3 linked regions of the Mus musculus genome follow. The protein of the gene in region 1 purifies or fractionates together with the protein of each later gene. This does not show direct contact. Links are inferred from orthologs where the notes say so. Each region holds a gene or a part of one and is shown in the gene's direction. Other genes may lie near its edges.

Region 1 (4,182 bases):
GTCTTCTTGAAGAGCAGCCCACGCTCTTAGCTGCTGAGCCCTCTAACTCCGGAAAAAGACTTTTAATTAGTGTCTACATCTGCAATGCCATCATGAGAGTGGCAACTCAATGACCAACGTTTATCAAATTATTTCAAATAGTTAATTGCCCTAAACCAGCTTGGTTCAACCAATAAAAAAATGTTTATAGATCATACAATGTAACAGTAAACACCCATACAACATAGGTAGAGCGTAGGTGGTGAGCAGTTTGTGGACGGAAGTATGGAGAACAGACTAGACTGGGAAACCTTGTCTCATTCACCCTTTCTACCCGGCCCCGAGTGCGGAAAGAAAAATCCAGAAAGAACCAAGAGAAAGCAAGTCTATCTCCTATCCCACTATGACTCCATTTTAATATTTCTTCCTTCGTCCACTGCTTTGTGTCGTTAAGCTTCTTTTAAGCTTAAAACCAACGGGATACAAGGCTCCAAGCAGGTCCTTAGCTATTTCTGTCCTAATAGGGGAGGGAGTAAATGGGTTTAATTTGAGTGCAAACACTGCTAGCTTTCATGGGCCTTGAAAAAAGTGCGGAAAAAGTCAGGAAGACGGGGCCAGCGATCCTGTGAACTGTGTATGTATTTTTGTCTCATACAAAGGCCTTACCTAGAGTTTAGAGTTCCTAAAAACTCTCAATTTCAATTAGCCAGGAAAATAAAACTCATCTGGCAAGCAGGAGAGGATCAAGTTAATGAAAAACGTTCACAGGACACAGAGTTCAACGGCAGAGGGCACAATACCCACCAACAAGGGCCAGAAGCTGGAGGAGAGGGTGGGCAGAATTTGATGATATCTGGGCCTTGTAGTTCGCTGTTGGTCTCTTCTGGGTATCCTCGACACGAAGATGAACTACAACCCCCACTGTGCAACGCGAGCCCCTCTCGCCACCTCTCCTCTATGGCGAGGACAAACCTCCTGGGAAACAGCTCCGCCCCACCCCCGTACGCACGCGTCACGTTTGTTTACCCTGAGGCCCCGCCCCCAGCCTCCCGCTCTCCGCAGAAATGTCGTCATGCTAACGATGCATATTCATGATCAACTCCGCCCCGCCACCGCCCGCCTTCCCGCGCTTCATTAATATTCATGAGGCGAGCTCGGGCCGCAGCTCCCGGGAGCTGAGGCTGTCCAGCAGCGGGCGGGGCCTGGCGCTGGGGAGCCCGCGACCCGCGGGGAGGGTGTGTGTGGGGGGGCGGTGGCGGCGAAACGGGCGGGCGGCGCGCGGGATGGAACACCGAGACACCGACGGAATGCTCCGGATCGCCACATAATCCTCTGGAGCGGCCGCGCCGAACGCCATCGGCGTCTCCGTTCTCTTCGCGCCGCCGCCGCCGCCGTCTCCCACCTTCGCCTCACCTCCTCCTCCTCCGCTGCCTCCGGAGCTGGGGGAGCGACGTGAAGCCCCGCTACGATGGAGCCCGCCGCTGCAGCCCCGGCACAGCGACTCGCGGACCCCACGGGTGAGGACCAAGCCCTGGCGGCGGCGGCGGCCGAGGGCGGCCGGTGTCCGGATCCCGCGCTGAGCGCGGCGGCCCCGAGCGGCGGGAACGGCGGCGCGGCGCGAGAGGAGGCCCCCTGCGAGGCGCCGCCGGGGCCGCTGCCCGGCCGCGCCGGAGGCACCGGGCGCAGGCGGCGGCGGGGAGCTCCCCAGCCCGCGGCCGGTGGGGCCGCTCCGGTGCCCGCGGCCGGCGGCGGCGCCAACTCGCTGCTGCTGAAGAGAGGGCGGCTGAAGAGGAATCTGTCGGCCGCCGCCGCCGCCTCGTCGTCCTCGTCGCCGTCCTCGGCGTCTTCGGCCGCTGGCGGCCTCCCGGCGTCCTGCTCGGCCTCGGCGTCGCTGTGCACCCGGAGCCTGGACAGGAAGACGCTGCTCCTGAAGCACCGGCAGCTGCTTCAGCTGCAGCCGTCGGACAGGGACTGGGTGAGGCACCAGCTCCAGCGGGGCTGTGTGCACGTCTTTGACCGCCACATGGCCTCGTCCTACCTGCGCCCAGTGCTCTGCACGCTGGACACCACGGCCGCCGAGGTGGCGGCCCGGCTTCTGCAGCTGGGCCACAAAGGCGGCGGGGTGGTGAAGGTGCTGGGCTACGGGCCGCCTCCCGCCGCCGCCCCTGCCGCCAGCGATCAGACCCTGGACGGAGAGCACGGAAGGGACGTGGAGCCACCGCCCTCGAGCGGCACTGTTGGTGCTGTCCGGGGCCCTGCGCGCGCGCCTCCCGCCGATCTGCCGCTGCCCGGGGGCGCCTGGACGCGCTGTGCACCCCGCATCAGCCCCGCGCCTTCGGACTCCAGCCCCGGAGAGCTGTTCGCGGGCGGCCCCGGGTCCCCTCCCCGCGCCCCGCGCCCGGCCTCTGACACCGAGAGCTTCAGCCTGAGCCCCAGCGCCGAGAGCGTGTCAGACCGGCTGGACCCCTACAGCAGCGGCGGCGGCGGCTCCTCGTCGTCGTCGGAGGAGTTAGAGGCTGATCCGGCCATGCCCCACCGCCCCGGCCGCCCCGCGCAGCCTCGGCCGCCTTCCCCGAAGACCTCGGCTTTACTGCAGCCGAAAGCCCCGACGGGCGTAGACAGCACTGGCGTGATAGCGGGCGAGGGTCCCGGAGACGATAAGGCGATGGCAGCCGCAGCTCCGGACGTTCCTCTGTCGACTTCGGGGAGGATACGGGAGACCGTGCAAAAGACATCTCCGCCCTCCCTGTATGTACAGCTCCATGGAGAGACTACCCGGCGCCTGGAGGCGGACGAGAAGCCATTGCAGATCCAAAATGACTACCTCTTCCAACTGGGATTTGGGGAGCTGTGGAGGGTGCAGGAGGAAGGCATGGACTCAGAGATTGGCTGTCTCATTCGATTCTATGCAGGTAAGGAAGTTGCCTGCATGTTTATGCATGGCTTCGAACCTTGGCAGGGATCGATAAATGATTCCAGGGGCCTGGTGAGTCTGTCTGACACTCTTTTTCTAGCTTGTTCACATGCCGCCTGTGCAAGTACTAAATTGAGCATTCTTGAAATCTGCAAGGTTTAGAGTGTCCAGGCCTGAGGTTGGAAAGCCAGGTGGACAAGGTGACAAAGTCACCTGGAAATACAGGAAACAGGTAACACCCTAGAGGGGTACCAGTCCCTAACTTTAAAGGTGGTTTCCTCCAGGCCTCTGCTCTGGTTCGTTGGGTTGCAGGCGTTTTGGGATTCCAGGTAACTCCTTGACACTTTAATATAGACAGAGGACAATGACCAACGAAAAAATGCTCCATGATGCCTTCCTCTATTCAACTGTCCACAGTTTACCATTCGTAGACAGTAAAGTGCAGCGTGGGCCTCTTGGGAACTTTGTTCTTGTCAACTGATGCTCTTGTTTGTTCCACTGTCTGCCACGCGTGCGTATTTGCTCGCTGAGTCCTCATTGACACCTGAGAAGTGGGTATGTTCCTTGTTTTGGGTGCTGCTTACCTTCTGCCCTCTTTCATTGCTTTATTTCAGTTTCCAAGTTTGAATCTTAAAAAAAAAATGAATTGGCCTGTTTCTGAGTTATAGCTTTTATTGTCAGATACTTGAAATAGACTAGACTTAATAATGTCGGTGATTACTGCTTCTGATATGACCTGAACTCCTCTCTAGCATTTTTAGTATCTGTTCAAGTGCCTATACGGGTGTGACCAGTCAGTTTCTCCTCTTGGCTGGAACTAATTTGTGGAGTTACAGGGCTATTGGTTATTGTTTTTGAGCTTGGTAAGTTATTGCATTTTCTGGTTGAAAGAGTTTTTAGTGGTCAGAACTTAGCTAGCTAGCTTAAGAGCAATAAAACTTTTGGTGTTACATTTAGGTGTATATACTAACAACCTCGTGACTCCCATAGTGGTTGGTTCTTCCACATTAGTGTTTTTTCATTTTAGTTCAACATGTGCCCTAGTTGCAGTTTGGTTTGAATGAATGAGTCTTTAACACTTACGTTGATAATGCAAGGCCTCATCCCTGGACATAAACATAAACTGTTTTATTGAAGCTTTTTTGAACTTAAGTGGATATTTTGATTAATATTTGCCTTATAAAGAAAACCAAATTGTAATACAATAGCATTTTCCTGGAACTAATATCTTAATGGATGATATGTTCTTTAATGTTTTTTGTTTTTTTGTTTTTTCTTTTGGTATAGAA
Region 2 (3,646 bases), on another chromosome or scaffold:
TCTACAGTTGTACATGTGGTTGTTGTTGGAATAGAACAGTACCGCGTGCCCTCAAGGACGGGAGCGCCCTTCGGGTGGACGCTTGGCCAAGACAAAGCTCTAGATTGGTTGCCAAGAATCAGATAGCCTTGCACTAGGAAATAAATACAGTTGCCCTTCCTGTGTGATTCTTCGTGGTGGGTCTCATCCAGGTCAAGGAAGATGCTGTCTGTGAAGATGCTTTTGGCTAGAGAAAGGCTGGCTGTGGTGTGGGCCTTTTTCATTGCCTGAACCAGCAGTCAGTGGTGCAGGGCAATGTTTGATTGCTAGTTGTTACAGCAATGTTTCCATTGGAATATTGGATACAATCAGGGAATTGGATGTTTTATGTTTATTATAATGAACTTTGATCTGTTACAAGACATCAATATATGTGTACATATATGTATTGGTACATACATACACACACTTTAGCCTTCAATAAAACAAAGTAGTTACTTAACATGTTGAGAAATGTAGTAATAGGTGAGAAGTCAGGTTTGTATTGGATGGGGAAGACAGACAAGAAAGCTTTTTGAAGGAGAAAGCAATATTAGCCATTCTGTTCGAAAGTCTGACTATTCATTAATGTAACTTGTATGGGGTAGGTACTGTTTTGCTACCAATAAGTTCTGTGGCCATCATTATGCCGATTCACAGTGAGTACTCATGTGGCTGCCTTTATCGAAATAAGCTAGGGAGTGAAAGCTGGGTGTTCTCCGGAGTGTGTAAATACACATCGTTTCTTTGTTTGATGACACACAAATCTAAGAACCAACTCTGCCAGAGCGACGGTGAGTGGAGAGTAGAGAGTAGGAGATTATTAAGCTGGAAGTCTTGCCTTCAAGATGCCCAGCAGGGAGCAAAGATGGCCAGTGATGTCCAGACAGTGTTAAAGGCCAGGCCGGGCTCCATCCTGAGTTAGGTGTGCCGTGGATACAGTGAATACAGTGGAGGTTCAGAAGGGAGCCAGCCCCGCTGCTGTACCTCTCTGTGCTTTCCTCTGTTCTTCCAAGGCTGATTTCAGTCACACACCTTGCCTTGCCTTTTTCCATTTTTCCCCCTTAAATGTGGATGTTGCCAAGTTTCATTGTATGTGACTCTCGTTCTGCATCAGGGACATCAGTCTATATCCATTATCACAGGCCAAGTCAGTCCCACCCAGTTCTCCAACCTCGGTGGCTCGTCCTACAAGTCCTGGCCTTGAAGATCTCGTCCAGAGCACCTGGGCGGTGTCCACATGGAGCCTGTGCTTCTGAGGACCAGGGCGACACTGTGTACTCCCTGTGTCGTCACTGGGGAGCCAGGGAGCTGGTCAGGTGCTGGGTGTCTTCCCATCCAGGAGATGTACGAGGTGGACAGTTGCTCGGTGCTTTTCTGGTATTTCAGACCAAGTGGGTGTCTTTTGAGTATAGGACATTGAACCTGGCAGCTGGAAACTGGTTTCCTGGTCATTGAAATAACTCCTGTTTTACAGATAAGCAGCAAAGATGAAGATTTTTTAGACCTTTCTGTTGACGTGGAACAAAACACATCAATTACTCACTGCTTAAGGTTTGTGTAGGATTATTTTCTCTGCAGTTTCATATTTACTTTCGTTTAGAAGATTTTTAAGCGAATTAGTAATTCTCAGGTATCCCTAACAAGCCCAATTTGTGTTTTTCACAGAGGGTTCAGTAACACAGAAACTCTGTGCAGTGAATATAAGTACTACTGTGAAGAGTGCCGGAGCAAGCAGGAAGCACACAAGCGGTACGTGGATGCCTCCCTCCTTCCCTCCCTCCCTCCCTCCCTCCCTCCCTCCCTCCCTCCCGAGTTCGGACATCAGAATGTGGTGGTGTGAGTGTGTGGGGATGCTGACTCGTGTTCAGGGGACTATTTTCAGGACTCCACCCTTCTACCAGCTAAGGGTCTCACCTCAGATCTTCAGGCTCGGGCAGAACTATTTTGCCAGCCTGTTTCAAAATTATTTTAATGATTCTGTGGCCAGGGATGTTGGGTAGGCTTTTCTATCTGAAAATGATGTGCAGAATTGCACATTGAGTGCTGCTTCTTGACACACACACTCTCTCTCTGTCTCTGTCTCTGTCTCTGTCTCTGTCTCTCTCTCTCTCTCTCTCTCTCTCTCTCTCTGTGTGTGTGTGTGTGTGTGTGTGGGCGTCTGTAGATTGTGCATATGCACAGGCAGAGGAGGACATGGACACTGGATTTTCCTCTCAGTTGCTCTTTGCCCTGTTTTCCCTCTGACAGGGACTAGCACTGGACCTGTGCTCGCCCACTCACTGTTTTGTGGATAGGTGTAGCTAGTGAGCCCCAGTGATCCTCTTGCCTCTGCTCAGGTCCCTCCTGCCATTTGGTGTGTGTGCCTCACATCATGCAGCCCTGTCTGCCCTCGAACTCTGGAAACCGGGCGGGTCTTAGACTCTGAGAGCTTCCTGCCTCTATCTCCTAAGCACTGGGATAGACGGGTGCCCTGCCGTACCTGCCTCAGGGTTTTGTTTTCTTTTTTTAACCTCGTGGGTACTGGGATCCAAATGCCATTCTCGTGCTTACATAGCATGCATTCGTATCCGCTGAGCTGTCTCTCCAGTTCTACGTTTAGTTTGTGCGTTTAGCCTTTAATAGTTGTGCCGTCTCTCCAGCTCCAGTCCCACATTCTTACTGTCAGCCTTAGCAGTTACGGCTCCGTGAGAATCGCTCGATGAATGGTGCCAGGCCGGAACCATACGCTACATCTGTGGTTCATGTCTTCAGGTGTTGGGCTTAGATGTCTTAGAGGAGTCTTGCGGAGATGCATCTTGTTAACTCAGTGCTTGGTATGCAGTCATGCTCACAGCTAATGTCATCACTGAAAAAGATACAGAGCAAAGGACAAAGCCAGGCAGATTTCCAAGAGGCCCTGTTCCAGTGAAGTGACACAAGACACTGAATTTCCCCTGTCTAATGACATCATGGGAAGCTCTTTGAGGGCTCCATGCCCGGGTTTGCCATTCCAGGCTTATTGTGCAGGCTTACTCGGTTCCTTGGCTCCGAATTCCAGGCCCTCAGAGGGAAGCAGGTGCTGGTCAGACAGCTCGGGCCCGAGGGAGAGCTGATGAGTGTGGTTTGAGGCGCTCCTTAGACCTCAGTTCCCAAGTGCCAGGGAGTCTGCTGGCCATGCTGGGTCTCTGCACACGACACTGCTGCTGCCACTGTCACCCAACTCTTGGTTAAGGTATTTCCTGGAATTATTCTTGTAAGCTACGGTTTCTCCTGCTGCAATTTTTAAGTATTTAGTGTAGATTTAAAGATTGCAAATACTTCATTCTTCATTAAACTGCCATTTTAAAAACTTGAGGCACACCCAGACAGTCCATTACTCTTCCTGTTTTTGTGTTCCGGTTATCCACAGCCCAGCTGGTGGCGAGGGGAGGTCCCTGTGGCTCCTCTGGGCTGTTGCTCCCTCATACGTTCTGAGCTCACGTTGGAACTAGCTGATCCTGTGCTGCTGTGTGGTCCTGCTGTGGGGAAATGTGTGCCTTGCTGTTCAGGTTCCTGAGCTCCTGAACTGAGCAAAGGATGTGTGGCCATTCATAGCTCTGCTCTGTGCCTGTCTGTACTGAAAGCCATGACTTGTGAACTCACTGTG
Region 3 (3,646 bases), on another chromosome or scaffold:
CTGACCATGAATGTAAGACACAAAAGAAATCAAAAGTTAAATTGGTTAAAGCTGGTCACTAAGCATTCTTTTCAAGTTCTATAGGCTGGGGAGAATAACAATAAACCTGTGCTCTAAAGGACAACCTAAAGGACATGAGCATAATCTTGAAGGGGACTTGGGGAAGTAGGAAACAGTTACCACTTCAGTGCCCCATAGACCAGCGAGGATTCCTGGACACGTGGTCCTAAGGAAGTTCAGATTATAACTTGTGGATCTGTATATAAAATGTGTCATGCAGGTTACAAATACTTGTATGTGCTCAAAAATAAACATGTACATACATGGGAGCCCTTGTGAATGCGTGAGCACACACACAAACGTATAATGTAGAAGAGGGTGATGGTATTATAATATAATATCATAAATAATGGTCAAATTGTTTTTACTTTCAACTGTAAATTTAGGTAAGAGTTTTCAAATTAGTAGAATGCTTTTGGATATTTAAAATAGCTAATAGAAAAATTTCTCTGACTAAACAAAACTAGAATTAGCTAAAGTGAGCCTTTTTATTCATAGGGAACTCAACCCTATGTATGAAGGATTTCTACAGCATGATGCACAGGAAGTGCTACAGTGTATTCTGGGAAACATTCAAGAAACATGCCAACTCCTAAAAAAAGAAGAAATAAAAAACCTGGCTGAATTATCCGGCAAGGTTGAAGAACAATCTCTTCAGAAAGAGGAAACAGGTGGAATTACCAGCACAGAGATTGACAGTATGAGGAATACGGAGGACGTCAAAGAGCAGCTCCCCAAAGGGAACTGGAAAAGAAAAAGTGACAGTGAGTCGAGTAACGTGAAGAAAAAGGTTAAACTGTCCAGGGAATCCCAGCCATTGGAAGAAAACCAGAGACAAACCAGATCCAAGAGAAAAGCTATCGGAGACACACTAGAGGCTGCTCCTAAGATCATCCCCAAGTGTGTTTCTGAAAGTGAGAGTGCAAAGCCCTCACAGAAGAAATCAAAAGTTAAAATAAATTGGTTAAAGCCATCCACTAAGCAACCCAGCATTCTTTCCAAGTTCTGTAGTCTTGGAAAAATAACAACTAACCAGCGCTCCAAAGGACAACCTAAGGAAAAGGAGGGTGATGTTGAAGAGGACTTGGAGAAGTACGGAAGTGACCACACAGCTAATGGTGGACCCGAATCTCCAGGAAGTAGCGTCACACCTGTGGACAGCAGTGAAGCCAAGTCCGGAAACAAAGGTCAGTGCAGTTACTAGGTTGGCTAGTGAGGGTGATGGACAGGATTTAAGATAGTCAATTTGCCACAGCACTGTACATGTATTATGTAGTGCTGTTGTTATTAGGGTAATTTTGCTTGATGGTTTCTAAACTTGGGAAGTTAAAAACCTTTTTAATGGGAAAAACCTTTTTAATTAAAAAGGGGAAAAACCTTTTTAATGGGAAAGCTGTTTTTTTGCGCCTTTTATCTATGCAGTATGAGCTCAAGGGAAACTGAGTTCAGTGAGTCTTAGACCTGAGATATAACTGCTTTGCTTGGTTTTGTTTACTCATGTATTCATTCCTCTTAGGGAAAATCTGCCGGGCGTGCTGTAGTTATTGTGGTTGATGGTTGCTCCAAAAGATTTGTTTCTCTGGGGCAGTTTTATAAAGACATGTCTTTAGGAAGCAAGTTAAAGACACAGCCGACATTGTTCTAAAGATAGTAATTCATATTTAAAAAATTTTTGGTAGGAATTTTACATTTCATGAATAAAGCACTGCTTAATAAGATATGAAAACAGGTTTTGTGTTCACGATGTACTTTCAATAGGGAATTAATGAATTGGGCTATACTGAAAAGCAAATCTGCATAAACATTTTCCCATTTTCATTTTAGGTGCTGAACAGATTGGCTTTGAGCTAGTAGAGAAACTGTTTCAAGGTCAGCTCGTGTTAAGGACTCGGTGTTTGGAATGTGAAAGCTTAACAGAAAGAAGAGAAGATTTCCAGGATATTAGTGTTCCAGTGCAAGAAGATGAGCTTTCCAAGGTCGAGGAGAGCTCTGAAAGTAAGCGGACGGGCGGGGAAGCCTGTGTGTGCAGACTGAGATGGCTAGAGCGTCCTTCCTGTTCTCAGCACCACTTGTTAATTCTACTTGCCAATTTGTAATGGAAAAAATGAAATACTTTAACATCTGAGACCTTAATATTTTATTAACTGAAGTCATTTTAAGTTACTACTTGAGCTACTGTTGTGTTCAATGTAAATCATAAAAAGTATGGAAATGTCCTGAGGAATCACGAGACTGGCGACTGACCTGAGACTTGGGCTTATTTGGCTTTTGGTGTGTGTCTCTCTGTGTGTGTGTGTGTGTGTGTGTGTGTGTGTGTGTGTGTGTGTGTGTATGTTCGGCTAATACTAAGTATTTAGATGTTGGGGATCAGTTATTTGAAACTGAATGATATTGCACATGAAACTTGGTTTAAGTTTTCAATGTCTGAAAGATATTTATGAGTGAACAATTCTGTTTTACAGTTTCTCCAGAGCCAAAAACAGAAATGAAGACCTTGAGATGGGCAATTTCACAGTTTGCTTCAGTGGAGAGAATTGTAGGAGAGGATAAATACTTCTGTGAAAATTGCCATCATTATACGGAAGCAGAGCGAAGTCTCCTGTTTGATAAAATGCCTGAAGTTATCACTATTCATCTGAAGTGCTTTGCTGCTAGTGGCTTGGAGTGAGTATTGTGAATAAGCCGAGGGAGACAGTGGCTTTGTCTACAGTGCTGTGCCAAGTGAAGTCGTTTGTGAGAATCGACTCTGTGCTCTTAGTAAGCAGGTTCACTGGGCATAAATATATGCTCTTTTGGAGCTGGTGGTTCAGTTCAGTGTGCTTGTCTAGCAGAGAGAAGGTTCTGGGTTTGAACTGTAGCTCCAGAAAGCCCAGTACAGTTCTCACACACCTTTTCATATGCGTTCTGTAGGTGCTAGTAGTAGAAGTCTGCTTCTGTGGGACTGAAATGGAGTAATTTTTTCTTTTTCTTTTTTTTATAAATTTACTTCCAAGACAGAGTGTCTGAGTAGGCTAGGCTGGCCTTGAACTCAAACTCACTTCCTTCTGCTTACTGAGTGCTGGGATTAAAAGGCTGAGAAATCTACAATCTATTCCTTCTCTGAGATAGATAGGGTTGACTCAGACTCAAGCTAGGATTACAGATGTGAGCCACCATACCTGACATTGGGGAATGGGGAGGGGATTAAAATTTTCAGTTTTAAAGGAAATCTAGTTCATTTCTGAAAACTTTGGGAAATTTTGTAGTTGAGAATTTGTCCAAAAGCTTTTAAAAATAGATATAAAAGTGGCTGTTTTGAATAATCTTGTCTTTTCTGATATGCTATTGTATACTTCATGGTTTCTGCATGCTAATTTCCTAGTGTACAAATCTAATAAAAGAATGAAGAAAATATACTTTCCACAGAAACACCCAAACATCAGTTAAAGAGTGCCTCACTGAGGAGCTCTGAATGGTCTGGAGTTTGCTATGTACACCAAGTTGGCCTTGAACTCAAGAGATCCACTTACCTCTGCCTCTCAAGTGCCAGGACTAAATGTGCGCACCGTTATACCTAGGTCCTATTTTAATATTTTTGTGTGTGCAT

The links. The genes of interacting proteins can lie anywhere in the genome.
Region 2: the proteins of Phlpp1 (region 1) and Usp12 purify together in Homo sapiens (affinity purification with mass spectrometry; 4 studies listed by BioGRID and IntAct, with this or other methods). This does not show direct contact. The link is inferred for Mus musculus from reciprocal best matches to the Homo sapiens genes PHLPP1 and USP12.
Region 3: the proteins of Phlpp1 (region 1) and Usp1 purify together in Homo sapiens (affinity purification with mass spectrometry; 6 studies listed by BioGRID and IntAct, counting the BioPlex papers as one, with this or other methods). This does not show direct contact. The link is inferred for Mus musculus from reciprocal best matches to the Homo sapiens genes PHLPP1 and USP1.

Annotation. Positions count from the first base shown.
Region 1 is NC_000067.6:106,170,557-106,174,738, forward strand, and holds the start of Phlpp1 (PH domain leucine-rich repeat-containing protein phosphatase 1), read left to right. Parts: upstream 1-1,312; 5' UTR 1,313-1,447; coding exon 1,448-2,891; intron 2,892-4,182. UniProt on the Homo sapiens protein: Protein phosphatase involved in regulation of Akt and PKC signaling.
Region 2 is NC_000071.6:146,749,819-146,753,464, reverse strand, and holds part of Usp12 (ubiquitin carboxyl-terminal hydrolase 12), read left to right. Parts: intron 1-1,163; coding exon of another isoform or gene 1,164-1,277; exon of another isoform or gene 1,278-1,383; intron 1,384-1,495; coding exon 1,496-1,572; intron 1,573-1,686; coding exon 1,687-1,770; intron 1,771-3,646. UniProt on the Homo sapiens protein: Deubiquitinating enzyme that plays various roles in the regulation of the immune response and inflammation.
Region 3 is NC_000070.6:98,930,302-98,933,947, forward strand, and holds part of Usp1 (ubiquitin carboxyl-terminal hydrolase 1), read left to right. Parts: intron 1-558; coding exon 559-1,247; intron 1,248-1,884; coding exon 1,885-2,055; intron 2,056-2,522; coding exon 2,523-2,724; intron 2,725-3,646. UniProt on the Homo sapiens protein: Negative regulator of DNA damage repair which specifically deubiquitinates monoubiquitinated FANCD2. Also involved in PCNA-mediated translesion synthesis (TLS) by deubiquitinating monoubiquitinated PCNA.